Lepisosteus oculatus: one gene and its partner. The protein of the gene in region 1 interacts with the protein of each later gene in a pairwise test. Links are inferred from orthologs where the notes say so. Each region holds a gene or a part of one and is shown in the gene's direction. Other genes may lie near its edges.

Region 1 (11,526 bases):
TCAATTAAACACCAATATTTAGATTACAAATATATTGGAAAATTACAAAACATTTTTTAAAAATATTGTTATCTTTAAGCTATTGCCTAAAGATAAAAGCTGTTTTGTTATTAATTTAAACTTGCCAGCCGATAAGGCATTTTCTGATACAACTTGCTTCAATTGTTCTCAGGAACTGCTGCTATGCTATGTCATCAGGCCTTTGGATATGACAGAAGAAGACATGTCCACCCCTGATTGCATGAAAAGGATCAAGGTTCAGGTGGGAAGATTTCTATTCCAATTTAAATAATCCTTTCAGGATCAAAATAGGTCCTTTTAGTCTAAAAACAGAATTACTGGTTGACGGGTATCTCTCTGATTAAAGGAAATACCGAATAATGAGAGTTACAGAGAACAGAGAAAAGGATATCTCTGTGTAAATCTTCCAGTGTTTCTTATGAAGAGATTTTTTTCTTATTAATGTATTTTGATATTTCAGGAGATTATTGTGAGCAGGTGGATATCTTCTCGAGACCATACAGAACAAGAGGAGATATAGCTCCGAAGCAATAACTGCGGTTCGTTTCAGTCAACTCTGAAGCTCATGTGAGATGCAACTTTTCCTGATGGCGAGCACACACAAAAGCATATTTTGTCTGTCGTTTTTCACATTCCTTAATGTTTATTTAAAACTAAATCCTGCAATGAACGCCTACTACATAAATAAATGTGATTCCCTACCAGCATAAACCCTGCTGATCGGTTCTTAGTCTGAGTCTGTTAAAAATTGTGACATTGTATGAGGATTGTTTATATGTCAACTTGCTTCACTTCTGTGCAGGCCAAATGCATTAAATTTGTGACAAAATGGTCTTTTTATCTAAAGTCAAGTTGAGATTTCTGTGTTTGTTTTCCATTCTCAAGCTTGAAAACTATTTGGGATCTTGGGAGAACCTACAGTATTATTTTTGTGCTTGAAGTAAACTAAAGTAAAACAAACTGTCTTGTTACCTGTGTTAATGTTTGAAAAATACTTAAAAATGCAACAGATACTGGAACCAATAGCATTTGTTGCATTTTGTAATGTTTCTTTCTATGTATTAGTCTCACTTTTTCTTAGTAACTTATAATCACCAATTAGTAAAGACCTGGAAACAAGGGTAAACTAGACTGAGGAAGTGCACTCAGTCAATAACAACTCAGTGGATGTTATTGATTCAAATAACATTAAGAATGCCAGAAAGCAGAATCATCCTAACAGAGGTCTAATTCTTCTTTTGTATATATAAAATCAAAGGTAGCAGCCATTTGCTGCTGTGTAATCCTTATTAGGGCTCAGTTTAGGGAAGACCAATGGAAATCAATGCAATGAGTGTACAATTGAATTTCTTCCATAGTGCTTTACATAAGTAATTATAACTGCTTGCCCTTAAAAAAGAAAGATATTCCTTGTAAATTGTTAATTTTATTCTTATACATTTGAACACATTAAGTATAGAAAAAACAATTGGAAAATCAAACTGACAATTAAATTAAAATGCATTTTTTTGTGCAATTCAGTGTAAAACAGATGAACATTTGTGAGGAAAAGACAAAACAAGGTTATGAACAAAACATAGTTTACCTACACTTCTGCTACCAGGAAGGTATCTCGGTTTCAGCATATCCTGGACACTTTATCTCTCCATCTATATTTAATAGTAATCCGTTAAGCCTAATTGACCATTTGAGTGAAATCAAACTTAATTGGTTTGAACTCACTCAACGGAAACTTGTGAAAACTGATACGCAGTTGGAAGATTAGGAGAGCTGCTTGTGCCATAAGGTTATTCATTGTCAAAACACACATGCCCAGTATATAGAACTCAGGTGTCATTGTAGACAACAAAGGAACCCTTACTGTAATTTTAGAGCTTTGTGTCCTTCATGTGTGAAGTGATCCAAGGATAGAGGTGAATTACTGATCATAATCAAAACTATCTCCATCATGTGCAGCTTTTTTTAGAAATGGACCAGCTTTTATTTAAAATGGTAAATTCAAAACATTGTCATTATTATTTAACTTATATATTATATTAACATTATTATGTTATATAACTGTTATTTTTAACTAGGAAGTTGCCTATTTCCAATAAGCCTGCTTCTTCAGTCTGTGGTCTTTGGAAAAAGAAGAATTAGATCTTTTAGCCATTTGCAAATCAATAAAATTGTGGAAATTTCCTATTTTCCTCCCGCTCATAGCAGATAGAATGCTGTACAGAGAAAATTAGCTATCCCAGATAGAACACTGCGCTTAGAATAGAATACATTACATTTTATTTCAATATAACGGAGCACCTCAAAATACTATAAAAGTGAGCAGATATAACTATTTGTCTTTTTGATGAAACAACTTGCTCAGATGACCAGACTGTGGTGTTTGTATGATTGCTAATTGCTTCTTTCACCATACCTCACTCTCCTTCCAGCAACGCTCCTTGATGCATGACAGTTCAGCGGCTCAGCGCTTCGTTGTGGTGACACTCGGTTGTATTTTTCTTTTGTTGTGTACGTTTGCCACCTTTTTTACTAGCACAGGACAAAGGCATTGCTACAGAAAATTAATTGCATCCTGTTTCAAAAACAATCCTAAAATAACTCCAGATCCATGTCATGTCATTTGCCTACCCAAGCAAGCAATGAGCACAAGACAAGGGTACACCAGTCCATCGCAGGGCCAGTGCAAGCCAGTCACACATGGGGACAATTTGGAGGCCACGGTAAAGGCAGAGGGGGTAAATTTGGCCCGGACACCGGGATAACCCCCTACACTATCCTGAAAAGCCTGGGGATCTTTAAGGACCACGGAGAGTCAGGACCTCGGTTTAACGTCTCATCCGAAAGACGGCATCCACTACAGTATAGTGTCCCCGCCACTATACCGGGGGCTTTATGACCCACACTAACACCACTTCCAGCAGCAACCTTAGCTTCCCAGGAGGTCTCCCATCCAGGTACATGTATGATTTTATTCTGAACAGTTTGAACATTTTTGAATGACAAATTTTAAAGTGACCCGGCTCAGAGCTCTCTGTGCATCCTAGCACAACTGCATTGTGTCTTCATTTCAGCTGCTCTTTCTGCTTGACAATGGAAGCTGCAGTATCCAGCCTTTTACTTCTACATGTTTCTGAAACTCAGCAGAAAACCACAGTTATCAAATGGTGTCACAGAACCATTGAAAAATAAACTGAATTCTGCATACTTCTTACAGTATTGTGAAGAAATTCCATCACATGCACTCAAACCTCAATCAAGTCACACACCTCTTGCCCTGTAATTTATATACAGTAAAATTCCTAATATTGCAATGGCCTTCAGAGAGAGAAAAGGCATCAAAAACTAATTAATTCCATATACATGTACCATTTTACAAACCGTAAATACAGTAACATAAAATTCTGATGTGGGAAAAAAAAACATTTAAAGCACGTGTGATGGAGCAGCTGGTGGCCTGGTGTCAAAACTGAAGGACAAAATTTCCCTCACCTTTCAATTAGCCAAATGTATTTCAAATCAGGCCATTTATGTTTTCAGTGAACCACTCTGAGTCAAGCAGGTTCAGACGTAGCTGGTGTCATCTCCTTCTTTCTGAGAACCATCCACGATGTAAAAATAGTTTTCAGAAATTTCCTGGTAGAGGGTGATGTACCTGGATGCTCTCTTGGTTCTTGGAAGAACAAACTTTTCTGTGAATTCAGTCTTGCTCAGGCTGCTCTTTCCCTGTGTGGCCAGCACACAGTTGATAAAAGTGAGAGCATATGTATAGCAGTTGTGCTCTGTTTCATTGTATCTGTAAATGATAAGGAAAAGTTATCAAAGTAAAAGAAACTTCTTACTTGATTTTATTTTGTATCTTTTTATGTACATTCTATAAAACTATTTTTGAAGTGTCTCATACACAACGTAAAGCTTAAACTTAACTCCTCACTATAATCTCAGTTTCTAAATTTTGCAAACCCTATGAAACAATATTTTGCCAAACAACACATTAACAGAAGTGAAGAGGAAAACAAACATTGAAACTTATGAAAACATGTAAAAGTTAGTCTTTGTTGAAATGACAAACATTCTGATATTCCATGTGTTGTGCTAAATGTTTCTTTGTCTAAATTAAACTGCAGTGAATCAGTCTTTCTGCATAAACTCCCATAGTCCAACTTTATTCATGTCACTTAGTATTTTGAAGTAGTGTGGATTTTTCATTAAAAATCTGTTTTTTTGAAAGAAATACCTTTGTGAATGCCACATCTCTGCGGAAGAGAACTGCTCCAGGTAGCAATCCCACTGATTTATCAAACTGTACATGTCAGGCTGGACCAGGGGAACACTGACAGACTGATCCCACCCCAGCTCATCTCTACAGATGCCAGTCTCATTGTAGTTATAAACTACACCTGCAAGGAACACACAGATCTTCATGCAGCCTCCGAGCTGTTGAGTGTTTTAAATGTTAGTAATACACGTGTTCATACACTGAGAACAGTACAGGTGGCTGAAAGTATCAATATAAAAATGTTAATATACTGATTTTTAAAAGGTAAACCCTCTAAATTGATAAATGTATTCCAATTGCATGAAATAAAGTAAGAATTAAAACATTTCTAATAATAAGGACACCATCTACTTTTCATAACTTAGCAAACTGTTAAGGACTCCATAAGATATAATGACCCATGGATGATTAGCATTTTTTGTACACATTATACAATAGATGAAGAGGTTCTGTTGTTTTGAATGCAAATCAAAAGTTAGGTTTCTGTGAGATTATGTAAGCGTTATTTAGGTAGTCATACAAACTGACTAGTAACCTTTTGTTTTCCATTTTTTATAAAAAAATGGGAACCTATTGTAGGCATGATTACTCCCCCTAATAATTTCATAACCAAATGTGACCTCATCCGCTTTCGAAAGCACTTGCACATCTTTTTATCTGCTGCTGCCTGCACGTAAATTATTTTCACACTGCCGTTGTCCCATTTCATACTCCTTTCCCACTACTGCGTCAACTACAGAACATACTAACCCACTGAACTTCTGCAAGTCTGAAACTGTTTCCTGTGATATTCCATCACTGTGGAATAAATTCAATAATTGTGGTGCATTCAAAATACACTGTACAGTACCTTTAGTGTTGGTGATTCCAACGTGAAGATCTGATCTTCCGTCATACTCTCTGTGGAAGTAAGAAACTTTGAACAAAACATCGTAGAAATAACTACACGTTGTGAAAATTGACAACTCACTCAAAGCCAGCTATGTTGCTTTCTGCTACAACTTTTCACCATTCCTCATACATCTCAATTTGAGAGGAACAACTGATTTTTTCACGTTGTTTTTTTTTTCATTTGAATCTTCAAAAACGTGATCTGAACAGCTCAAAGTGTACCTTACGTGACCACAATATGTACTGTTACAGTACTAATAGCAAATCCGTCAAAGTTGCCAGTCAAATCCAAATTACTCTATTGTCCCTTGACTAGTGTTTTTTTTCTTCCCTCTACACGTTCATCCATTTAGAAGGGTATTTTATTGTAAATACAAAATGCAGATGTACTGGAATTCAACTGGTGGACTTGATAATGACTAAATTATTTCTACAACACATTACCGTCCCATTTGACAAAAACTACAGGTTATTTTGATTAATTTCAAACGACGTGACCCTGGCATTCGGTACAGTAGACGTCTGAATCTGCTGCAGAACAACTTTCGAACAGGGTTCTACAAAATGTTGGGGGAAAAAATCTTGAACAGAAAAATCTGAAACGTCCTGGCTCTCTCTGAGAAATCACAACTGATGTCTTCAACTCGAAGGCGATAGGACGTGGACTGTTCTTGCCGATGTTCAACGAAGCAATTAACGGAGTATTGTTCATTTAATAGAAACTGCTTTTTTGTTGTTGTTTACTAAGGAGTTAATTGCGGCATACAGTGCCTTTGAACAGAACATTCAGTTCCTGAAATAGAGGTTGTGCTCATTTTCCCTTTTCCCTGACACACGCCTGTGAGTGAATCACGGTCGACAGAAAACAAAACAAAATCTGCCGCACCGCTAAAGCGATCTCACCTGAGAAATTCCCCTGTCGTGGGCTTGACGAGGAACGAGCACTTGGCTCTCTGTCCGCCCGCGAAGGGACTAGGGATGCTAACCGGTGCCTCTTCAAACCGCCGGCAGCTCAGACTTTCGCCGCACTCGGGGCAGTTCTCTGGGACGAAAAAACAGTAAATGTCCTTGTCACAGTGGTGGAATTTGATAACTGCCTTCTCCATTTGGAGCAGCCGCGGACACACTGAGGCAAAACCGAGTGTCAGGCAGTGACAAAGTAACAGATCGCACCTTAGAGATCAGAGAGCAGGTCCTTCCTACGGCTGTGTGATGTCACTTCATTGACGCGATGACTGGCTGCACGCAAACCTTTAATTACATAGCGGGTGTGTTTTTTCTCTCTCTCTGTGGTTATAAGAGACGGTGAAATTGCATGGAGTGTGTTCGACACAAAACAGTGTTTTACCGGACCGTTTTAATTATGGCTTATTCTAACGAAGCGTCTGTAGATACGAGTGCGGTGGGGGTGACTGTAGTGTAATGTTGTAGTGTGCGTTAAATCGCGTTAGCAAAGTCCTGTGACGGGTACATAATTCCACTGTTAGGCCACTTTCATAAACGACAGTTGCTGTAGATTACACATTTATTTTTCCATGACTATTATTTCCCACTTAAAAGTCAAACAGGCTGTTTGTTTTTTTAAGATCGGAACCCTTGGTTGCAGTTCCTTGTTCCGGGGGGATGTAATTGAAGCGTGCACCCAAAGTATCTGGAGGAGGTACAATTCTGTAACCCTTATGGAAGACAGAACATGACTACTAAGCAAGTCACCTGCAGGTAAAAATTGCTGTTTTTCTTTGTTTTAGATATACATTTTACACGTCCATATTTAAAAAGAGTTTAGCTCTCATATTCTGAAAATGACATGCTTGAGAGCAGAGTTCTAAAGTGACGTTATGGCGTGTCGTTTACTTGACCATCAATAATTTAAGCACTGTAACGTTATACGTTTTCTAATGGAAAAGGAGAATCAAATCACTATCGTTGATAGTGGTTGACAGTGTCTTCATTATGATTTTTTTTTCATCCAATTTGATCAGGCAATCTAAAATGAGTAAGGAGACCTTCTGAAACAAGTAGAATGAGTAGACACTATGGAAGAGTTACAGTGGCTTTTTGGGCTGTTTTATTACCTGTTAAGTGTTGTTACCTTAACAATGTCAGAATTTGCTTTTAGATCTGTGAAATACTTAAGCTTTAAGCTCGAGGATCAGAAGCGAGGAGCTACTGTTGTTGTACACTACAGGTCCATTGAAATTGTTTTCAGACACTGCTGTGTTTGTCAGTGCTCTCCGTGACGTCGTTTGCAAACGAGAATTTATTCTCAGCTGTTTTCTCTGGTTAAATGAAGAATAGAAAAAGAAATACACCTCTTCAAATCGTTTAACCTAGGTAATCAGTTCTAATTCTGTAAAGCATTAAAATCAAAGGTCAGACTTTCTCTGACCAGTTTTATCAACCGGTCGTTTTTTGTAAAAAGTGGGTTTTTCTTATTGTGGGCAAAATGTTTTTTTTTTATGATCTTTTCTTCCAGTACTCTACCAAGACGTGCACAATAGCGGTAGAAGTAACCCGATAACGACAACAATACATTAAGGGTTCTTCCTGGTCATCAGAGATCACACCATTAACGGTGGTGCATTTTAGAGTAGGATATAACCCCACTAAGAAAGTAATCCTGATTGAGAATAAAACACTTCCCGTGATCTGTAAATCGATGCTTTCTCCAAAAACAAATGGATGTAAAAAATTAATGGTCTTGCGGAGGGAGATATTTTAAATGACATTTGTTCCCCAGAAATGTGCAATGTGTGTTCATGTGGGATGCATTATGTGGAATGCATGTGCTTTTATTAAAGCGTTCAAAAATCTAACTTTCCGCTCCTCGTACAGCTCATCATGACTGCTGTTTGTCTCCGTTGTAGGTATTTCTTGCATGGCGTTTGCCGCGAGGGGACCCGATGTATGTTTTCGCACGATTTGACTACAAGCAAACCCTCGACGATCTGCAAGTTTTACCAAAAAGGGCAGTGTGCATACGGAGATCGCTGCAGGTAGAAAGTTCTTGTCAGTAACCCTGTCAGTTTTTTTTTAACAATCATTCGATCCCTTTAAAGTAATTCTGAAACACAAGAGGCCTACAGAATTCATTGACTTCGAATAACTGTCATTATAACTATGCCAATACGAGCAATAATATTCAGCGAGATGACAAATCTGACGAAAGAGAACGTGTGCTAAAATGACTCTTCACACCAGAGGGCGCTAGCATCACTGAAATGATGCGTTACACGCCATGAATTAATCGCGTACACTTAGGTCGACAATGGTGATGTTTTACTATTGGTGCTCACAGGACTATTCTGTGAGGTCCCGCCATCATGTGCCAAATGTCTTAGCGTTGCGGTGCATGTAGTGCAATATTCTAAGATGTCATATTTGTCTTGTCAAGGGGAACACTTGTTTTTGTAGAGAGAAAAGCTTCCTATGGCAAGTGGTAAGCAGCACATAGGAGAAACCCTCTAGCAATTGGATGTTTTTACCCCCCCAATAGACCTGAGATCTTATTGCCGTTCGATAAAATGTATTGAATGATTTTTTTCTAGGTTATAGCTGTACCAGATTTCCCCTCAGTGCCATTCTGGACGTTCGTATATTCCGACTTGCTAAGGCATGGGAAGAAAGGAGCAATAAAATAGAATGAAAAGAAGAGCATTCAGCTTGTTTGAATCGATTAACTTTTTAATCATCCGCTAATGTAAATGTAGATTTAAGTTGACGACGATTATTTTTCTGCGTTTTTATCACAACCTTGAGTCATGTGTTTTTTTATTTGCAGTTTGCAGATAAATATTGTGTTTGCTATTAAAATGTCTTTCTAAAGATAATTTGTTTGTTTTTTTAATCTGTGATTTTTAATTCTTAAAAAAAGCTGTCGGTAGTTCATCCTGATTTTTTCTTCAGAGTTTTAAATGGTGATGCCAATCAATTTCTTTCGGAAGACAAGTCCGTTTAATAAACATTTGCCTCCTATCATCTTGACCCCTTTATAGATTTCCAAAAATAGATAAAGAATTTTGGTAAGCAAGGCTTCAGAGTTTATTTAATTCCAGTATGATTTTTCAAATGATCCCTTCTCATATTATATGCCATAAAATTAGAAGATGAGTTGTTTTTAGCCCCACGACTAAAATATATAGGTTAAGAATCTTTAAAAGGCAGTGATACTGCTACTACCAACCATCAGTATAAGATCAATAGTGTGTGGCTTTCCTGTAATGCTAGCTTACACCGATGTGATATTATTCACATTTTCCGTTTTGAACACTCATTCCATCCTAAATTTATGTATGTTTTAGAAAATCGTCTGACAAACAGAAAAGAAATCGTGACGATCTTCGTTTTATTATCGTTTAGCGTTCAGTGTATTGTCACACAGTCCAAGAAAATATGAACAAAGAAATAGAATAGGCTGGCTTTAACTCACCCTGTTCGCTTGGTTGCTAGTAATTGAGAATTTGATCGATCCATCTCTTTAATGACCCTGTGGTGTCTACCTTAATACAGTGATGTGGCCAAGGATCTGGTTCCAAGTTATTGCAGTATTCTGTGTCAGGATGACTCCTGATGTTCATCTCGAACGCTCCCTAAGATTGTTTAACAGTGCTTTTAAAACCTTTCCAAAGCAACACATTCTTCTTATTGCATGTTGTGTGTTTTGTAGGTATGATCATATTAAGACAGCTGCTGGAAGGGGGGCAGGTGCCCCCGGAGATCTCACCGAGAAGAGCTGCAGTGGTCTGGCTGCAGTTGCAGGAGCCATCCCCCCAGCAGGCTCTGGGAGACGTGGGAAAAGATCCTTAGTCTTGAGAGACAGAGGTAACACATCTCTTGCAGGAGCTTTTGGCTTCAGAGCAGCCTGGACTGATACGAGTGTGCGTGCACGCACATTTGTTTAAAGTTGTACTTTTGTTTCGTCATCCGACGGCCAGCCAGCCCCTCTTGTCTTGCAGAGTAATCTTTGAATTTTGGGAGAGGTGTTAAAGAAACAGAGGGCCAGCAATTTTATCACACAAGTCTAGTGTCACACTTCTTCCCTAAAGGGTGAGCCCGCCAGCTAGTTTTAACGAATTGTTCTGGTTTTGGTATATGTGAGTAACATATTGCAGCTGGTGTGTTTATGTTTCTATTTGGTGGCTGTTTAGACAGTCTCAAAGTGGTTTCACTCTGGAATTTACGGTGGCTATAAAGGAGAAAAAATCGTTAAGCTTTTTTGGTCCCTTAACCTCCTCAGCAGTTTGTTGTAATTGACCCTTTTCTGGTAAGCAGTGGTTATGCACTGCAAACTGACGAATCAAAAAAATAAAAAAATCCTGGTTCACCCCTGACCAAGACTGAATTATTATTACTACTCGATACCATTTTTTGTACTCTTAGGAGCATAAGCTACCCTGTCTTATATATGGTAAATGTATATCAAGTTTAAGGCATTTTCTGCATTTGTTGAAATCTGTAGTTTTATCAGTTGTAAAAATGAGTTTGTTTCTAATTCCTTTAATGGTTTAATATCTGACACTAGGCATCATAACGTCATTTGAATCTGAAGCACTGTGCCTGAGACATACTGTAGTTTTCAGCTATTTTTAAAGTGGTCTGTTTGAAGATAAGGGTTCCTGTATGAATTAAAAAATATTTTTAGGTTTTCTTTTATTGCTACAATATGGATGGTTGATATACAACATGTGCGATGGTCCTCACGTCATTTTATGACCTCGGATTTCATTAAAAGAATGTATTTCTTAAATTCATTTCTTATGTTAGTGTTTTTCTCATTGTTAGGTGTTTAGCAGTGATATTTATGTCACATGTGTGTAAATGTCAAGGTAAACTAAATGACCTATGAGTATATGGAATTTTGTGTAAGCTTTGATATTACTTGACACTCAAGTTTATCCCAGTCTATGTTCACTCACACACCCAAATAATGGGTTTTTATGAGGTCTTGTTAATCTGAAAGTGTGCGTTTCCTTCAGCTCTTTGCAGCACTTCAGAGGTAAGGATGCCACAGCACAGATCTGACGCCTCAGACAGCTCCAAGTTGGACTGCTGGGGTCACAGCGATGAGGCCGTCAACCCCAAACCTCATTCATATCTAGAGGCTATCCAAAGTGGGCTGGAGAGTTCAGCATCTGGGAGCTCGGTTACTGATTCACAACAGCTGTGCCCTTATGCAGCTGCTGGTCAGTGTCACTATGGCAACAGTTGCACGTATCTCCATGGTGATGTTTGTGACATATGTGGGCTTCAGGTGCTGCATCCCATGGACTCTGAACAGAGGAAAGCACATGAGAAGGTAAGGATGCACAACCAAGAGAGCCCCTGGCAATCTCAGATGG
Region 2 (10,957 bases), on another chromosome or scaffold:
GCCAGTACTGTATGTGTACGATAATAGCCATGTAGCATATATATGTAGGTGCTTATTCTATATACTGTAAGAGCTCCTTTCATAAAGAGCATAAGGTTACAAATGAAGGAAGGGCATTCAGCCCACTCAGCCTGTTTGATCTTGAGTAGCTAATTGATCCAAAAATCTCAACCATCTGTTTCTTGAAAGACACAACAGTATCAGCTTCAACGGGGCTGGGTCTGCTCACTCTCTGAGACTGATCCCCTGTGTCCAGGCGCCAGGCATTGCGGAGGGGAACCCGGAGTGATCCTGCCAGGCTCTGGGCGCCAGGCTGCGAGAGAGCCCCATCCATTCACAGCAGGGACCGGACCCGGCATGTCTGAACAGTGGAGAAAACTCCGCTGAGTCTGGAGACGCCAGCAGGGGACAGACGATCACAGGACAGTGTGGCTGTGGCTGATTTCCTCTGAGAGAGACAGAAAAAGGCGGGATTCAGGACATGAGACGCAGGGCCCAGAGGTCGAATCAGAGACGTGAATCAGAGCTGTGAGACACTGGACCCAGAGGTCGAATCAGAGACATGAGACACAGAGCCCAGAGGTCGAATCAGAGACGTGAATCAGAGCTGTGAGACACTGGACCCAGAGGTCGAAGCAGAGACATGAGACACAGGGCCCAGAGGTCGAATCAGAGACATGAGACACAGGGCCCAGAGGTCGAATCAGAGACACGAGACACAGGGCCCAGAGGTCGAATCAGAGCTGTGAGACACAGGGCCCAGAGGTCGAATCAGAGACATGAGACTCTGGGCCCAGAGGTCGAATCAGAGCTGTGAGACACAGGGCCCAGAGGTCGAATCAGAGACATGAGACACAGGGCCCAGAGGTCGAATCAGAGACACGAGACACAGGGCCCAGAGGTCGAATCAGAGACACGAGACACAGGGCCCAGAGGTCGAATCAGAGACATGAGACACAGGGCCCAGAGGTCGAATCAGAGACACGAGACACAGGGCCCAGAGGTCGAATCAGAGACACGAGACACAGGGCCCAGAGGTCGAATCAGATCAGAACTCTGAAATACTTTAATGAAACAAGGACTACGCACGCTGATACACTCCCCTCTCTGATACACTCACTTCAAGAACTCTAGGTAATGTGTTTGTGTTTAAAAATTTTCTTGGACTGGCAATTAATATATTGTGGTTGCTTGAACACTGGATTTTCCACTGGGTTGTTGAAGTATCGATTCTGTCTGTCAAGGTTTCTGTCTGGCTGGCCACACACACAACCTTTAAATCAAGGGTGTCACACTCTGTTGTTGGGGTACCTGGTGACTTCAGGTTTTTTGTCCAATCTGAGTAGTCAATTAAACAATTAAGCTAATCAGTTCCCTAATTAGACATACAAAGGATTTTTCTTAAGTTTCCAGGCTGAAAAAATGCACTTCAACAAAAGTACAATTACCTCCAAAGCACCTACCTGGTTGAATGTATTAACAGAGATGGTGTTAATTAGATGAGTACCAGCTTGAATAAAAAAACGAAAACACCAGATTCTCCAGGAGCTGTGTTTCACAGTAAATAATCTGCTCAGGCCTAAGGTACCACAGAACAAAAAATCTTATTTTCTGTTACCTTAACTTAACTTAAAGTAACCTTAATAAATTAGGATAAATTAACGCATACCTTAATTTATTATTTGTACTTTGTGGGTGTAATGTTTCACTTGCTCTGTATTCTGTACTATATTTGCTGAGAATAAAGTTTTGCAGATGTGTGGTCTGGTGTGATGATCAGTGCTGCTGCCTCTCAGCACCAGGCCCTGGGTTTGATTCTGGACCAGCAATCCTTTTGTGTGGAGTTTGCATGTTCCACATGTGATCCTGAGGGTTTTCTCCCATCTGCCACAGACACGTTTCACGTTGTTTAGAGAGCACGATCTCTGGCTAATGTAGGGATTTATGAATATCTAAAGACCGTGTGTTCAATTCATATCATATGTGGGAGGACACAAGTGCAATGAAATACAAATACAAACACAAAACAGCAGCAGCAAAAACAAAGTTAAATAACATACAACTTAAATACAAATCAGCACATCAGCACAAGCCGTGTGCAAAAATAACACCAGTGTGAGTCAGAGGTAGAGGCAGAATTTAGCGATCTGACAGCTAGTGGGGGCTACAAACAGCGCCACCCGGTGTTCACACTTTGTACACACAGGTGCCAGGTTGCAGATTTCTTCCTGCAGAGCCGGAGCTCAGACCCTCAGCACAGAGGCAGTGAGGACTGCAGGCCCGTCCTCAGCTGTCAAGAGGTAGAAAACGAGTTTCCTGGGCTGGGCTCTCCAGGTGAAGAACAGCATCGTCTCACCAGGAGCTTCTGGGAGAGCAATACTGCCTCTCTCCAGCCCTGCCCTTGCCGACCCAGTGAATCTGTGAACCTGATAGGCCACAGTCCCAGAACCCTGGGTCACTGGAGTCTCCACACTGTCTCCGTCCTCTCCCAGTGACCCAGCAACACCAGTGTCCAACACACTCCAGGAACTGGGAGCACTGGAGTCTCCACACTGTCTCCGTCCTCTCCCAGTGACCCAGCAACACCAGTGTCCAACACACTGCAGGAACTGGGAGCACTGGAGTCTCCACACTGTCTCTATCCTCTCACAGTGACCCAGCAACACCAGTGTCCAACACACTGCAGGAACTGGGAGCACTGGAGTCTCCACACTGTCTCTATCCTCTCACAGTGACCCAGCAACAACAGTGTCCAACACACTCCAGGAACTGGGAGCACTGGAGTCTCCACACTGTCTCTATCCTCTCACAGTGACCCAGCAACACCAGTGTCCAACACACTGCAGGAACTGGGAGCACTGGAGTCTCCACACTGTCTCCGTCCTCTCCCAGTGACCCAGCAACACCAGTGTCCAACACACTGCAGGAACTGGGAGCACTGGAGTCTCCACACTGTCTCTATCCTCTCACAGTGACCCAGCAACACCAGTGTCCAACACACTGCAGGAACTGGGAGCACTGGAGTCTCCACACTGTCTCCGTCCTCTCCCAGTGACCCAGCAACACCAGTGTCCAACACACTGCAGGAACTGGGAGCACTGGAGTCTCCACACTGTCTCCGTCCTCTCCCAGTGACCCAGCAACACCAGTGTCCAACACACTGCAGGAACTGGGAGCACTGGAGTCTCCACACTGTCTCCGTCCTCTCCCAGTGACCGCTCCTAAAGGTAAAAATGCAGTTTAAAGCTCCTTAGAGGGTACAGAGATGGTCATGGTTTGCATAACATACAAATAGGATCCGTTTGTGGTCAAAGCTATAGGCTTGTGCTGAGATGGGAACGAGCAGGTTACCGAGCGGTAAAATCTGGAAGATAGGTAGAAAAAGTGCTGTTGTGTTACCTGATTATTTCAATTTTCCTCTTGTACACTGGAGGATTGTGGTGCAGAATCAAGAAGCTGAAATGATCATGGTTTGAGTAGTCAATAATAGCTTCTTAAGACGTGACTCTCAGACGTGACTTACTTTGTCTATCTTTTCAAAACAGCTAGGATGTAATGAAGAGAACAGAATTAACAGGACCCCCCAGAAAAGTCTGATCCCAATATGGTAACTTTTCATAGAGTTTTTTTTTTTTTAAATGTCAAAATCTGGAGTCTAAAAGGCATGTATGGAGAGTGTATAACTCTGCAGAAAGAAATTGAACCCAGGGCCCCAGCCCTAAAACACGGTAATGCTAATCTGTAAACACGGTGCTACATGTCTTCTTACACGTGCTTATTTAAGGATATACAAGACATTTCAGACTAAACGGTTATTAAATAAGAAGGAAGAGAACTCTTTATAGATAGTGTAAAAGGAGCTACAAGAGAATAAAGATAATGAACATGCTGAGATACAGATGCCACAAATCTATGCAGAGGGTTGGTTTGTGGAGCGGAAAACAGGAAGCAGGAAGCTGTCTCAGCGGGCGAAACCTTCATCGAGACAGATGGTGTACCGCTGTCGCTCCTGGATTAGAGCAACACTTCAGACTGCGGTTTAGTTAGTAAAGAAGTAAAACAAGCCCTGGTCCGAGTGTGTGTGTGCGCCCTGTGATAAACTGGCGTCCTGGCCAGTCGGTACCCCATATTCTGTCCGTTGCTTGCTGGGATAGGCTCCGGTTCCCCCGTGACCCTGAACTGGATGGATAGTAAACTAGCTCAGTTTACAATTAAATCTGAAACTATGGGACGTAGAAACGCTGATGTGAAAATGAGACAGAAATCATTTATTTTGCAGAATTAAAGCACATTAAATTTAACATGTATAATTGCAAAACGAGTCATGCGTTAAGTAGAAACGTGCTCTGTACGTGTTACTATACCTATACACTGGTGGTGGTGGAGGGGAGTCCCTATTACCTGTAAAGCGCTTTGAGTGGAGTATCCAGAAAAGCGCTACATAAGTGTAAGCAATTATTATTATTATTATTATTATTATTATTATTATTATAATACCACATTCTCTAGCCATCACATGGGTTAGTCTGAGCCCTAGTGGGATACGCGTTACAGGGTTTTATATATTCGTCTATGTGCAAAAGCGAGCACCATGCTTATGTAGAAAAAGGCTTGTATTTAAAACAGATGGGAGTTATGTTCCGACTTTGCAACTCTCCAGCAGTAGTTTTCTTATTTAAAAAATGTCGTGTTCAATGTAATAATCCGAACGAGGTCCAAACAACGGAGCGAGGGCAGGGACGATAAAGGGGTATTTAATACAGACCCCAGACACAGCTTTAGCCTTTCGGGCAGAGTTCGTGCCACAGCTGGGTTTCCGTAGTGTAGTGGTTATCACGTTCGCCTCACACGCGAAAGGTCCCCGGTTCGAAACCGGGCGGGAACAGCTGCTTTTATTTTATTACCCCTATGGAATGTGAAGTAACTCTTCCTATTAAACAAGAAATACATTAATCGTGCGTGTGAAATATGAATTTGATCCGGCATCATAATTTCCGGTGTGACATAGATTTTCGGGGGAGAATAGAAGGCAACATTTGAACATCTCATCGGAAATTAACTATAAAACCAGTAGCACAAAGTGTTGGAGGGAGAGTCGAGGAGGTTTCCGTAGTGTAGTGGTTATCACGTTCGCCTAACACGCGAAAGGTCCTCGGTTCGAAACCGGGCGGAAACACTTTTTTTGTTTGTTTTGCTGAGAAGCCTTGTAGAAGGCGCTTTTAAAATTGAATTTGAACCGTATTTCGAAGCTCAGTTCGAGCTCCAGTACCTTGAATAGCAGCGAAATGTGCTCGGTAGAGTATGTTGCTCCGTTGTCAAATATATACATTTCAAATATAGGCCTGTTTTGTTTTTAATGTTTTTTTAATAGTACCGTTATAAAATGTTCTCGTTTCCCCAGAAGTATAATTGTTAAGTACCGTTGCTGAAGTGTAATGCTGTTATATACCACTTAGACGCGTCACAGCTGTGTCAATTGCATTGAATTGTACTTCACAACTTTTACGTTTTAGAAGATTGAGGATAATTCTGTAATTTATATATTTCCAAAAAGATTGAGTTTTTTTCGTTTTTTAAAGTGCCATGATAAGAAAATGGTTCAGTGTCCCGTGTTTGAAGAGGTTAAATCTGAGAACATTCATAAATATGCCTTTGAGAAAGATTTAAAAATATACTGTAATTGTTTTTTCGGAATTGTATGATAAAAAAATTCCATATATATATCAAACGTTATCACATAAAGATATTAATTGTATTAATAGTGTGATCTACTACTGATATCGAATACAACAGCACTAAGTTTCCGTAGTGTAGTGGTTATCACGTTCGCCTCACACGCGAAAGGTCCCCGGTTCGAAACCGGGCGGGAACAATTTTTTTTTTTTTAGAGAAAAATATCAAACACTCAATTAAATAATTTTCTAATTTAGTTAGAATTTAGCATTGTAATGTCCAATTTTAGGAGTTTGAAATGTTTTTAATTAAAAAAATAAAACCCACTACCTCTGCTGCACTGACTTAAATACTGACTGTTTATGTTTGAAGAGAACTACAAAACATCTTAAGATCTTTAAACGGGAAGGGTGAAACCAACACAAAAACATTTACAGCTCAAATTATTCCTAACTCGCCACAGGCGAGGACGACTGCAAGGGAAACAATCTCAGCGCCGGGCCCTGCTCCAGCTGCCCGGCAGCTCTGTATCCAGAATGCACCGCGGACCCTCGCCTGCTCTTTTTTAGTTCTGCTTCCGGGTCGAGTCTTCCTCTTTCCTGTGCCTGTAAGCGAGAGGAGCAGGGCGGCGGTAGCCTCCGATCTCAATCTGAGTCCATCCTCCCTGAAAGGCACCGTGTATCTTCGCCAAAATGACCGAGCAGATGACTGTAAGGGGGACCCTGAAGGGTCATAATGGTTGGGTCACCCAGATTGCCACTACCCCGCAGTTTCCCGATATGATTCTGTCTGCTTCCAGAGGTAACCCGGCCGCCGCCATCATTGCCTTGGCTATTCCGGTGGTCTACGTGGTAGCGTGATTTACAGCATAAAACGTGTTATAATGCGTGAACATGAGAGTAGATTGAGGAAAGTGCTTAAATTATTTTCACGTGCCGTTTAGTAAATACAAGATCGTTTTTTTAAAGCAATGCAACATTAAAACGTGACGCCTGGACCCGAGAGAAGGTACGAGTGTCAGAGGGGGCAGACACGTGTGTTTCAGAAAGTCGTGAGGCACAGGCTGGGATCTTTTGTTTCTGCTGATGAAGGACAGAGTTGTGCAAGCGGTTCACTTCGCGCTTGTAGGCCGGCTGCGCTGTAGGGCAGCATCTCGCAGATCTTGGCGTTGGACCGAAAGGCCGCCGTGGCGCCGGGCGCGTTTCCCGGTCTGGTCAGTGGCGCTGAGGCGCTTTTTGTCCGGCTCGACGTGTGAAGTGCGTCAGACGAGTGGTCGGTAGCGGAGCCGTGTAGTTCTCGGTAGACAGTAACGTGCTTCCTTAGCGAGATGATCGCTGGGCTGTTGATGTTCTGCTAGGCCGGGAGGAAAAAGAAGTTGGGAGGCGCAATTTAAGCTTGGATCTGATTTGAAGCGGGATATGCGTTGCTTAGAGTTGGGTTCGGTCCTTAGAAATAACACTTTCTGTTAAGGCACTGGTGTTCATTTTGAAGAAATGTTAGTTCAGCGTGTGGACAACACTCAGTGCAGTTTGTACACTGCTGGGCATCCGTTCCACATGTCCTGCTTCTGCAGAGGCGCATGATGGGAGGTGAAGCTTGAGCAGTAGTCAGTAGTAGATGAGGGATGAAAAGATTAATTTTAAACCAGTGCAGTGCCTAGTGGGCAACAGGGCCTTCTCTCTTCCCTCCCCTGAGTACCTGTTTGATTGTGCTTGGGCCTCCAGACAAGTCCATCATCATGTGGAAGCTCACCCGCGATGAGACCAACTACGGCATCCCCCAGAGAGCCCTGCGTGGCCACTCGCACTTCGTCAGCGACGTGGTCATCTCCTCCGACGGCCAGTTCGCTCTGTCGGGATCCTGGGACGGCACCCTGCGCCTCTGGGACCTGACAACGTGAGTGAGCGCGGACGCAGAGAGGGCTAGGTTGGTGGGGTGGCTCTTTCACGCCCTTCCCTGCAATTATCTCCACACGCTCAATGACTGGCTGTGTTTGTCCCCATTAAGCCAGTGGTCCCTAGTCCTAGTGACCCACACACCTGTGGGTTTCCATCCTATCCCGCCTTCATTAGTTAATTCATTCCTTACACTTATATAGCGCTTTTCCTGGCAGACACTCCAGTCAAAGTGCTTTACAGATAATGGAGAATCCCACGGCTGCCACCAATGTGTACCTGAATGATGCAGCGCCAGTACTCTTGCTACACACCAGCTCTCAGTGGGGAGGAGAGCAGAGTGAAGCCAGTTCAAAGATGGGGATTTTTAGGAAGACATGAATTGTAAAGGCTAAGGGGGAGGGTGGCCAGGGCACTAGATAATTTAAGCCTTAATTGACCTAAGAAGTTCCTTTGTTTGAATATTTGCATTTTGTTTTTCCATCATGAGTTTGGGACTTTATTTCACTTGCGAAATAATAACGGTTAAAGCTCCAACACGTTTAAGACCTGGGAATAAACGGTTCAAATTAATCTTATTATAAAGTCAACAAAGGGTTTGATTGTGTCACTGGCTGGAATGGAAACCAGCATATATTGCACATCAGCTGTAAACAGGAAAACCGTCTGTAAACTGAGAATTTGCGTGTGTCTGCAGAGGCACGACTACCCGTCGCTTCGTGGGGCACACCAAGGACGTCCTGAGTGTGGCCTTCTCCGCCGACAACCGGCAGATCGTGTCCGGGTCGCGCGACAAGACCATCAAGCTGTGGAACACCCTGGGAGTCTGCAAGTACACCATCCAGGTCAGGAGGCTCGACGTGACCCGCTGGAGCGCTCTCACTCGGCCAGCATGTGCGCTCGCCTTCGCCACCTGCCCCGTCACTGTGTGCAGGGAGGCGAAAGCGCAGGGAGTTTCCACACGTGTCCCAGTGATTACACATCTCACGGTCCTATCGTCCGAGCCTTGTGGCCGTGACGACAAGTCCTGCAATTATGACGGGACGTTGTGGAAATCGGAAACGGGCTTCAGGCTTTAGCGTTTCTCAACTCGAAAGCTGCTCTGCATTGTTTTGTGGGGACTGTTCCTATAAAATGGCGAGGCCTTGATGTTTGTTAGCCTTAACGCAGTGGAATTCACAGTCGTGAAGGAGAAGTTCAAGTGGGTAGCTGTGTCCGCGTGCGTAGGCTGCAGAAGAACAAGTAAAGGTTTATTCCAGGCTGAAAAAGAAAAGGGACTTGACGTTTCGACTGTGGCGCCTTCTGCAGGTCAGAGGGCTCCACGGCGGAAGTGTTGTCCATTTTCTTTTCAGCCTGGGATAAAGCTTGACTTGCTCCAATGAAGGCGGAGGGCAGCAGAAGAGCAGTAGTGGGTATTGAGGTTGACTGACCCCTTGCATTTTGATGCTCTGTGTTGTAGGATGAAAGCCACACTGAATGGGTCTCCTGCGTGCGCTTCTCCCCTAACAGCAGTAACCCCATCATCGTCTCCTGTGGCTGGGACAAGATGGTCAAGGTACTCGTCGACCAGCTGGAAACAGCCTTCTAGACTAGGACCCTACATCTGATCCGGGGAAACTGCAGGCTATTGGAGTGATTGCAGTCTATAGGCGACACGTCTACCGTGTTGGATGGCTAATGGCTCTTCAAGGGAACTTGTCCCAAACTCCCATAGTCCTCTATGCAAAATGTGCCTCTTAAATATAGTTTCCACTTGCACATTTTTGATTTTGAGAAGTGGGTCCCCTATTAATCGTCTCAGGATTCCAACTTGGTCACTGTACAAAGTTCCTGTGGGCACAGGAGAGAACCTGCACTGATTACAGAGCGGCAGTGTCGCCTTTCTGCAATAATTAACCTTTAGAAAAGTGTTCCTTTTGGAATTTTAACAGTCTTGGATTCAATTATATAATTTTGCCCATTACTGCAGTTTGTCTTTCATTTTCTGCCGTCTTGTTCAGGGTGTGCACATTTCTATTATGCTTGTTCAAGACATGGGGAATACCTTTAGTCAGAAACTGGTCATTTAAATGACTATTACGGCACATTTATTTTTTTGGGGGGGAGCTCAATAGGCTTTGTTTCCATGTACATCCCAATGATTACACAGTTCATGGTCCTATCGTCCGAACTCTGAGGTTGTGACGACAAGTCCTGCAATTATGATGGGATGTGCCTATGGAACATCAGCAGTCTTGGTCAAGTGTTCAGCTCATTGCGGACTGGAAACAGCAGAAATACCTGTGAGTGGAATCCTGAGTGTTTAAAAAATGTATTTCTAGGTTTGGAACCTGGCTAACTGCAAGCTGAAGACCAACCACATCGGACACACGGGCTACCTGAATACCGTCACTGTCTCTCCAGATGGTTCTCTGTGCGCCTCTGGGGGAAAGGTAACTGAAATCCCTGCAGCTGGCAGAGGGGGTGGGAGTGAAAATCTGTCCATGCTCTAGTTTCTGGAACTGGACAACCCTGAAGTCAACCCTGCAGACTGCAAGTACATGTCACAGTCTGGTGGTGTTAATGCAGTGGTTTCGTGATGCTGTTCTTGTGAAAATGTATTGCTTCAGCTCCTCTTAGGCTGTGAAAGCAGTGTGATTTGCTCTTGTAAACCATGCTGTGCTTCATTTAACTGATGTGACCCGAAGAACTTGGTGCACAAGTGTTTTCTGTAAGGCAAGTGCAGGGTGTTTGTAAGAGTGGCAGGGGAAAGATTGTTCCTACATGAAAATCTGTTTTGTCTTCATGCTGTGATGGAAACATTCACTGCCATCTGTTTCATTTGGTGATGATAAAGAGGCTGTTTCTGAGCACGTTTCTGAGTTTGGGTACATTCCCTTCATTTGACTGCATTCTGTTTTTTTTTTATGCAACCACTTGGAAGAGTTAATCAGATGGTTTAAAATAGAACACCAAGAAGCATGCATCCTTTATTGATTTTTGTTTTTAGATTTAGTAAGTTAAACTTGAGCCCCTCAGGCTGGTTGATGAGAAAGCTGAGCAGATCCAGCCTGCGCTGTCCGCCTGTCCTAACCTTTCCTCTCGCACCCGGGCGCTGCAGGACGGGCAGGCGATGCTGTGGGACCTGAACGAGGGCAAGCACCTGTACACCCTGGACGGCGGAGACACCATCAACGCTCTATGCTTCAGTCCCAACAGATACTGGCTGTGCGCCGCCACTGGCCCCAGCATCAAGATCTGGGTAAGGCTTGAGCACGCACTGGGGTGGGGAAGAGCCTCGGATATCGGTGGCCTTTCTTTGGGCTGATCACTGCAATCATCCTGGAAGGTTTCTGTATTCATGCTGCACACAGTACCAGTGTTCTTGTTTAACCAGGGTTTAGAGCTGT

The links.
Region 2: the proteins of mkrn2 (region 1) and rack1 interact in binary tests that used the Homo sapiens proteins (3 or more experiments, as listed by UniProt). The two-hybrid records come from large-scale screens. The link is inferred for Lepisosteus oculatus from reciprocal best matches to the Homo sapiens genes MKRN2 and RACK1.

What each region holds. Positions count from the first base shown.
Region 1 is NC_090699.1:62,267,812-62,279,337, forward strand, and holds the start of mkrn2 (E3 ubiquitin-protein ligase makorin-2), read left to right. Parts: upstream 1-6,371; 5' UTR 6,372-6,456; intron 6,457-6,551; exon of another isoform or gene 6,552-6,774; 5' UTR 6,775-6,881; coding exon 6,882-6,907; intron 6,908-8,055; coding exon 8,056-8,184; intron 8,185-9,854; coding exon 9,855-10,009; intron 10,010-11,163; coding exon 11,164-11,483; intron 11,484-11,526. Other genes in the region: tsen2 (tRNA-splicing endonuclease subunit Sen2), read left to right, coding at 173-262, 482-541; MKRN2 opposite strand protein, read right to left, coding at 3,583-3,814, 4,256-4,418, 5,148-5,197, 6,092-6,294. UniProt on the Homo sapiens protein: E3 ubiquitin ligase catalyzing the covalent attachment of ubiquitin moieties onto substrate proteins.
Region 2 is NC_090706.1:29,976,082-29,987,038, forward strand, and holds the start of rack1 (small ribosomal subunit protein RACK1), read left to right. Parts: upstream 1-6,256; 5' UTR 6,257-6,365; coding exon 6,366-6,474; intron 6,475-7,397; coding exon 7,398-7,569; intron 7,570-8,265; coding exon 8,266-8,413; intron 8,414-9,027; coding exon 9,028-9,123; intron 9,124-9,889; coding exon 9,890-10,000; intron 10,001-10,668; coding exon 10,669-10,809; intron 10,810-10,957. UniProt on the Homo sapiens protein: Scaffolding protein involved in the recruitment, assembly and/or regulation of a variety of signaling molecules. Interacts with a wide variety of proteins and plays a role in many cellular processes.